Linked DNA regions of Macaca mulatta. The protein of the gene in region 2 interacts with the protein of the main gene of each other region in a biochemical or structural test. Links are inferred from orthologs where the notes say so. Each region holds a gene or a part of one and is shown on either strand. Other genes may lie near its edges.

Region 1 (4,165 bases), on a different chromosome or scaffold from region 2:
ACAGACAGAGCCTCCTGTTAGGAGCCAGGTCCTTTTCTCTTTCAGATTTCAGAAAGCGATAGATTAGCAGGATTTATTTGAAACATACAAAATATATGTTTTAAATTTTGTTCAAGCAGTTACATTTAAATACATATCAACTAGCACCATATTTAAATGTAACTAACTTTGAAAATCTTTCAATAGATATTGGTGATAAAGAAATGATAGAGGACAGAGTCCAATGCACAAATGTTTGGGGTGAATCAAGTCCATTGCCTTGTTCCCATATGAGGAGACAAACATCCCGTTTTCCTGCCCCAGCCCAGAGTTGGTGGTTTTGGAGACACAGGACAGGTCATGGGAAGTGGTGCCCAGAGCGGCCCAGTGACCTGAGTAAACACAGGGAGCGCAGCCAGTCTCTCTGATTTCATCTGGAGTCGGCCCTCGGGCCTGGCTTATAGGACGGCCGTTTTGCAACTAAAGGCTAACTGCAACCCTACAATCCCCGATCCTGTGTTACTTGCTAACCCTTCAGCCCCTCGTGTCCCCCTCTCAAACTTCCTACCAACACCCACCCTAACCCATCCTTTCTGGGCAGGGGAAACTTCGCCGCCCGGCACAGGCTGCCAGCGGGCGCCGCGCTCTGGGGCGTCAGTCCCGGCACTCGGTGCCGGTTAACTTCAGGATTCGCTTCCCTTGCCGCTTCCGCCTTCCGAGTGCTCGCGGGTCCTCCCGACTCCTCGCGCCTGTCTCCTCCTTTCTTTCCCCTTATCCTCACAGTCTCTGTCTCCCGGCAAGCCCATTTCAGCAGAATTTATCCTGGCTCTGGTTTTCCACTAAGCAAGAAAGGAAGCAAGATCTTCCGCCCCCAGTCTTGGAAGCGAACAAAGGAAAACCTAAGCGGCCCCTGCGCTCAGATTTCCCCCCAACTCTTTGGCTTCGCAGAGCGCTCTCCCCGCCACAGCCACCTCCCCACCGTTCTTCCGAATCTCTGTCGGAAACTCTACAGAGAACAGAAGGAGCCTGGCCAGGTGGCCGAAGGTGTTGCCCTGAGGTGGGGGAAGGTAGAGACCAATTTTGAAAACATTGCCTTATGAGCTCCAGTGCGAGAGAAGGCTGCGAATGGAGACCCTTTCCTCGTCTGGGCAGGCAGCGCGTTCAGCCAGACCGACGGGCTGCAGTGCCGGGCCACGCGCGAGCGAGCACGACGAGGATCAACCCTTTCTTAATTTGGGGCGCCGGGGAGTAAATGCAGCGCCAACTCTCTCCAGAGCTCTCTTTTTGGTGTGTTTTTAAAAGACCCCGCCCTTTGTCCAGCTACTGAGAAATGAAGCAGGCGACCCCTAATCCAAAAGACTATCGAGAGCGAGCGGTGGAGAACCCGCAAGGAGTGGGGGCAGAGCCAATGTCTCAGACCAGCTTCACCCCTCTGGGGAGCGAAGAGGAGAGAGGTTCGCTAACCTCAGCTCCCACCGAACTCCTTTCCTTGCGACGCCAATCAACACTTCATTGCCCGTTGATTTAGAAACTCACTCTCCACCCACCACTCCAAGCCGCGGCCAGCCAGGGAGGCATGAAAACCAAACCTAGCGCCAATATTTCCCGAAACTCACATCCCAGAGAAACCCACGCGCGGGTGCTCAAAGCAAATGAGGCCCCATTCTTAGCAAGGAACCTCAGAGTTCATGAACTTTCTCTGCAGCGCTGCGGAGGCCTGCGCGCCGCCCCGTGGACGGGCTTCGGCCGGCCAGGAGGACTTGGTGGCTGGTGCCTGCGGGGGCGGGAGGGGGCGAAGGGGAAAGGAAGGCTTCCTGGGGTCGCCCGAGTCGCGGGAAGCACGCCGCGTACCTTTCCTTGGCCTCCGCGGCCCGGTCTCTTTGCCTCCGGTTCTTAAACCAGTTGCTGACCTGCGTGGTGGTGAGGCCGGTAGCTTCGGCCAGCTCCCGCTTCTCGCGCGGCGAGGGGTAGGGATTGTGAGCGTACCACTCCCGCAGGACACCCCTCGACTTCTCCTTGAAGCAGTAGCTGGTCTCCTCGCCGTCCCAGATGGTGCGCGGCAGTGGAAATTTTCGGCGCACCCGATATTTGCCCACGGCGCCCAGGGGTCGGCCGCGCAGCTTCTCGGCCTCCACATAATGCGCCTTCAGCCACAGTTGCTGCAGTTTGGGGTGGTTGTGAGGCGAGAACTGGTGGCTCTCCAGGATCTTGTAGAGCTCACGGAAGTTGCCGCGGTGGAAGGCGACCACCGCCTTGGCCTTGAGCACGCTCTCGTTCTTGTGCAGGTGGTCGCAGGCGGGCAGTGACCACAGGAACCTACCCAGGCGCTCCAGGTTTCCGCCTTGCTGCAGAACCTCGCACACGCATGCCACTTGCTCCTGCGTAAAGCCAAACGACGGCAGCATCGACATGGCTGGGGCCTGCCGGGGCGCAGGGCCCAGGCGCACGCGGCAGGGAGCAGAGCCGAGAGGCAGGGGGCGGCGGCCGCAGGGAGGGGGCGCGGCTGTTCCTAACCTCCTCCTTAGGCTTTGCAAAGGCGAAAACCCGAGTCAGAACTTGGAGGTGGGCAGCCAAGCAAGAGAAGGCGGAGGAGTAGGGTACGCTCTGAACATGGAACCGCCGGCGCACTCAGTAGCCTTTAGGGCCTTGCTGCCTCCGACCTCCCGCCCGGTGGATGCTGCTAGTTGCCGGGGAACTTGGTTTCTGTTCTCCCCGCAGCGGCCTTAAAGCTCGCAGCGTCCCCGGCACGCTGATTGGCTGCGGGCGGCGCCTATCCCGGGCTGGCCAGCCAGCGCGCCGCCCGGCTGGGCAGAGAGGCCGCACCGCCCATCGAGGCCGCACCGCCCAGCGCGGGGAGGGCGAGGCTGAGGAGCTGGGGGTTGGGGGTGTTGCCGGGGCTGCGCAGGGAGGGAGTGGTGGGAGGAGAAGGAAGAGGAAAGGTGGGAAGCCAGTTGGGGTCTGAGGGAGCTGCGCTGCGGAGGTGTGGGGAGATAGAGAGTGGGTGAGCGCGTCAGGACCCTGCAGCGCGGGACCCGTCACCAGTATCACCTAAGGGGAGTCGCGCAAAACTCCGCACAAATCAATTACTCCAAACCTTAATTCCTCCCCTCTCCCTCCGTACTCTTGCTTTCATCCCTTACAAACTTGCCCTTTCCCGGTGAGCTCATATTTAATTACTTTAATGTTGGAATGAATAAATAATGGATTGATGAATAGCTTATGGAACGCGATAAATAATTCAAGAGCAGACCTGGGTCTCCGCATGCAGCCTCTGGAGCAGTGGCTTCTCTTCGGGTTGGCTTCAGCTCGAGAAGCCAACCCTATTTCCTTCCCCCTCCCCCCACCAACTCCCACTGTCCTCCCCCAGCTGCCGCACACCACCCTCCAAAGGGCACAAGTACTCCCAGTCGGACAGCGTTTCCCTCATTCACAAAGGACGTCCATGATTTGAGACCAGGCAAAGAGGTGTTTCGGGCATACTTGCTGAGCACCTAGAGACTCCGAGCGTTCATTTGTGATTTGGTATCTTAATGTTCTGCGGTTGAAACCAGCAGGTTCCTGAAGCTTCTAGACTCAATTTCCCCCATCTGTGCTGTTGCGTTTTCCAATGCCACTTCTGCTACTGAGGAATGCCGAGAAGCTTTACTTGCTATTAGCAAAAAATGCTTTGGGAACCTCGTACGAAAGGCGCTGGATGTGGTGTAAATTAAATAAAATTGTGCCCGGCTCCAATAACCGTCCGGTTGTAACATAATCCTTACCCTGCTCTGAGAGGGACACTGCCCTCAAAGCGAGGACGACAGCGGCTCCAAGAAGATTAAATAAAGAGGGGTGTGTGTGTGTGTGTGTGTGTGTGTGTGTGTGTGTGTGTGTGTTGCAATGCTGGCCTATTTTGCTGCCAAGGAATGAGAGATGTACTGCAATTTAAGTCCCATCATCTGCTGTTTTGTTTATGTGTGGAGAATGCTTAGTAAAACTGCACAAACAAATGAAGTTGTAATTATCTTAAGCCTCATTTGCACACCTGGTTCCAAAGCAATTATTAAAAAGATTTTGAAGACAATTAGCCTCTCTAAACAAAGATAATCTATTGTCGGTAGCTGAGACCAGCAGGAGATAAGAACAATGCGTGGAGATAAGGGAAGCCAAATGGTGGAAGGAGAGTGACTTTATGACTATACTTATC
Region 2 (3,643 bases):
CACAGAAGTTTTAGGAAACCGTTTTGATCTGACAGAGCAGCCAGGCTGACCAACGACCCGAGCCCAGAAAGGCTTCCTCACGCATGTCCTTGGTTTGTTTTTCTCTTCCCAGGACTATCCTTCCTACCCTGGCTTCCCCCAGAGCCAGTACCCCCAGTATTACGGCTCATCCTACAACCCTCCCTACGTCCCGGCCAGCAGCATCTGCCCTTCGCCCCTGTCCACGTCCACCTACGTCCTCCAGGAGGCATCTCACAACGTCCCCAACCAGAGTTCCGAGTCACTTGCCGGTAGGTGCAGGCACTGGTGGGGCCATTCATGGTTGTGGCCTGAGAGCTTCTATGAGGGAGGGACCTGGACATGGGGCCTGGTTGTAACAAACAGGTTACCCAAGGGTCATTCATGGTTGTGGCCTGACAGCTTCTATGAAGGAGGGACCCAGACATGGGTCCTCGTTGTAACAAACAGGTTACCCAAGGGTCATTCATGGATGTGGCCTGACAGCTTCTATGAAGGAGGGACCCGGATATGGGTCCTGGTTGTAACAAACAGGCTACCCAAGGGCTAAATCCATCTCTCAGACATGTTTTGTTGGCCTGTTTGTGCGTGTGTTTAATTGCATTTGTGTTTAAAAGTCAGAAAATTTTATTAATACCTAAAAATTCTATTTTCTGGCTTCTTTTGAAAGAAGATCTGGCCATAGTAGCCACATTCCCAAGGAACATCACTTGGTTAAAACTAAGTGTGTCTGCTCTTTTTAGAAAGGACACACCCAATTCCACATCTAGCCAGCTTACCCCATGTTCATTACTGCCTGACCCATGTAGGCCTTGGAGTTGATGAGCCTGGTAGTATTTATAATATTACTGGCCAGGTGCAGTGGCTCACACATGTAATCCCAGCACTTTGGGAGGCAGAGGTGGGTGGATCACCTGAGGTAAGGAGTTCGAGACCAGCCTGACCAACATGGTAAAACCCTGTCTCTACTAAAAATACAAAAATTAGCCTGAGTGGTGGCAGACACCTATAATCCCAGCTATTAGGGAGGCTGAGGTAGGAGAATCACTTGAACCTGGGAGGCAGAGGTTGCAGTGAGCCAAGACCGCACCATTGCACTCCAGCTTGGGCAACAAGAGTGAAACTCCATCTCAAAAAATTAAATAAATAATAAAATATTACCCATCTGGTTCGTGCTAAGCATATACCTGTGTGATCTTCTCTAATCACTGACTTATATATTTATTCAGCAAATATTTGTTAAGCACCTGCTGCATTTCAGGCCCTCCCTTTAGTTTGGGAAATAAAGTGCAATGTAGAGTTAAGCTTTGCAGACAGGAATCGAATAATCATACAAATACCTCGTTAAAAACTGCGATAAGGAGAGGCATAATCCTCACAAAAACAGGTTGATATTATCCCCACCCTTTTTCTAGATAAGAACAATGAAGATGAGAATGATAAGGAGCTTGCTAGTCATTGGCGGAGCTGGGATCCAAACCCCAGTTTGTTGGCCTCCATAACCAGCACTCCTGCTATGCACTGGCCGTACACAGCCAGGAATAGGTTATCTAAAACTCATTTGAGAACAGAAGGGCAGAGGCCTTCAAATATTGATTCTTTGTCTAAGAGGGGTTCAAGTATAGCAACTCAGGGTCCTCAAGAATTACAGAATCCTTCAAAACATCCTGAAGCATGTTCATTTTTTTTCTTTCAACTTTTATTTTAGGTTCGGGGGTACACATGCAGGTTTGTTACATGGGCAAATTGCATGTCACGGAGGTTTAGTGTACAGATAATTCTGTCATCCAGGTAATCAGCATAGTACCCACTAGGTAGTTTTCCAGTCCTCACCTTCCTTCCATCCTCCACCCTCAAGTAGGTCCTTGGGTCTATTGTTCCCTTCTTTGTATCCGTGCGTACTCAATGTTTAGCTCCCACTTATAAGTAAAAACATGTGGTATTTGGTTTTCTGTTCCTGTATTCATTCACTTAGGATAATGATCTCCAGCCCTAACCATGTTGCTTCAAAGGACATGATCTTATTTTTTATGGCTGCGTAGTATTCCATGGTTTATATATATCACATTTTCTTTATCCAGTTCACCATTGATGGGCACCTAGGTTGATTCCATGTCTTTGCTATTGTGAATAGTGCTGCAATGAACATATACATTCATGTGTCTTTATGGTAGAAAAATTTATATTCCTTTGGATATATACCCAGTAGTGGGATTGCTGGGTCAAATGGTAGTTTCATTTTAAGTTCCTTGAGAAATCTTCAGGCTGCTTTCCACAGTGGCTGAACTAATTTACATTCCCATGAACAATGTATAAGCATTCTCTTTTCTCTGTAACCTTGCCAGCATCTGTTATTTTGTGACTTTTTAATGATAGCCATTCTGATTGGTATGAGATGGTATATCATTGTGGTTTCGATTTGCATTTCCCTAATGACTAGTGATATTATTTTTTCATATGCTTGTTGGCTGCATGTATGTTTTCTTTTGAGAAGTGTCTGTTCATGTCCTTTGCCCATTTAATAGAGTTGTCCTTAAGGATGTTTGTTTCTGATGGCACAATAGTTTTAGGAAACCCTTTTGATTAGCCAAGATTTTTTGGCTTCAAAAGATATAGAAAATCCAATTCAAACTAGTTTAAGAAAAAACAAATGAATTTTTAGGCATTTCTAACCAAGATGTTCAAGGGTTTAGGGCTAGGTCTAGGTGTTCCAATGATAAAGTTGAGACTTTGTCTCTCTCTTCCTTCTGGCTCTGAATTTTCCTGGGTTCATTTCATTCTCAGCCAAGCTTCTCCCGTATGGTGGCAAAGATGGCCACCAATTACCAAGAGCTCAATCCTGTCTGCTAATCCACCCCAGCAAACATAATTCCTCCTTCTTAGCCATTCCTGCAAAAGTCCCAAGTAAAGCTCCCATTGGCCCAGCTTATATCACATGCTCATCCCCAGACCAATCTCTGTGGTCAGTGGAATGGAATGCTGGATGAAGCAGCAGACTTTGGGCTCATGCCTATGGCTGGAGCTAGAGTTGGGGTCAGTCTCACCTCAACCACCAGGGACTGAGAGTGAGGAAGAGGTGATCACCTCAAAAAACCAAGAGCACTGTAACTACAAGAAGACAGAAGAGGCACTGGATGAGTAAAAACAATAAATGTCCACAACCTTGATATCGATCCCACCTGTGCTAAGAGCAACATGTGACAGAGTCCATGTCCTGACCCCTCTGTGGTCACAAAACTTGGTGTGTAACATCCCTATGCAACTAACGCACCAGCCTATGGATTCATTCATTCATTCCCCAGACCTGCTATGCACATCTTCTCTTTTACAAGATGGTTTTGGCTTATCAACATTAAATAACATGGCGGCAATACATTAGAATGTCAGTAGGTATCACTGAGTTTTGTTCCTTTGTCTTCTTTTCTGAAACCTGCTGATGTTTGTAGGGCTTTGCAGAAGCTAAGCTAGCACGATGGTGTGGAGACAGTCATCAACAAATATTAATTGGTTGATTGTTAGAAAAGGAACAATAGGGAAGACCCACCTGTTTTGTTCCTGGGGTTCTTGGTGTGGCTACTGATTTTAGCCCTTAAATTTTCCATCACTGGGAGTGAGTGGGTTATCC

What was found.
Region 1: the proteins of EYA2 (region 2) and SIX1 form a complex in vitro, tested with the Homo sapiens proteins (2 studies listed by IntAct, with this or other methods). The link is inferred for Macaca mulatta from reciprocal best matches to the Homo sapiens genes EYA2 and SIX1.

The regions. Positions count from the first base shown.
Region 1 is NC_133412.1:133,780,127-133,784,291, forward strand, and holds the start of SIX1 (homeobox protein SIX1), read right to left. Parts: upstream 2,890-4,165; 5' UTR 2,391-2,889; coding exon 1,831-2,390; intron 1-1,830. UniProt on the Homo sapiens protein: Transcription factor that is involved in the regulation of cell proliferation, apoptosis and embryonic development. Plays an important role in the development of several organs, including kidney, muscle and inner ear.
Region 2 is NC_133415.1:99,877,810-99,881,452, forward strand, and holds part of EYA2 (protein phosphatase EYA2), read left to right. Parts: intron 1-112; coding exon 113-290; intron 291-3,643. UniProt on the Homo sapiens protein: Functions both as protein phosphatase and as transcriptional coactivator for SIX1, and probably also for SIX2, SIX4 and SIX5.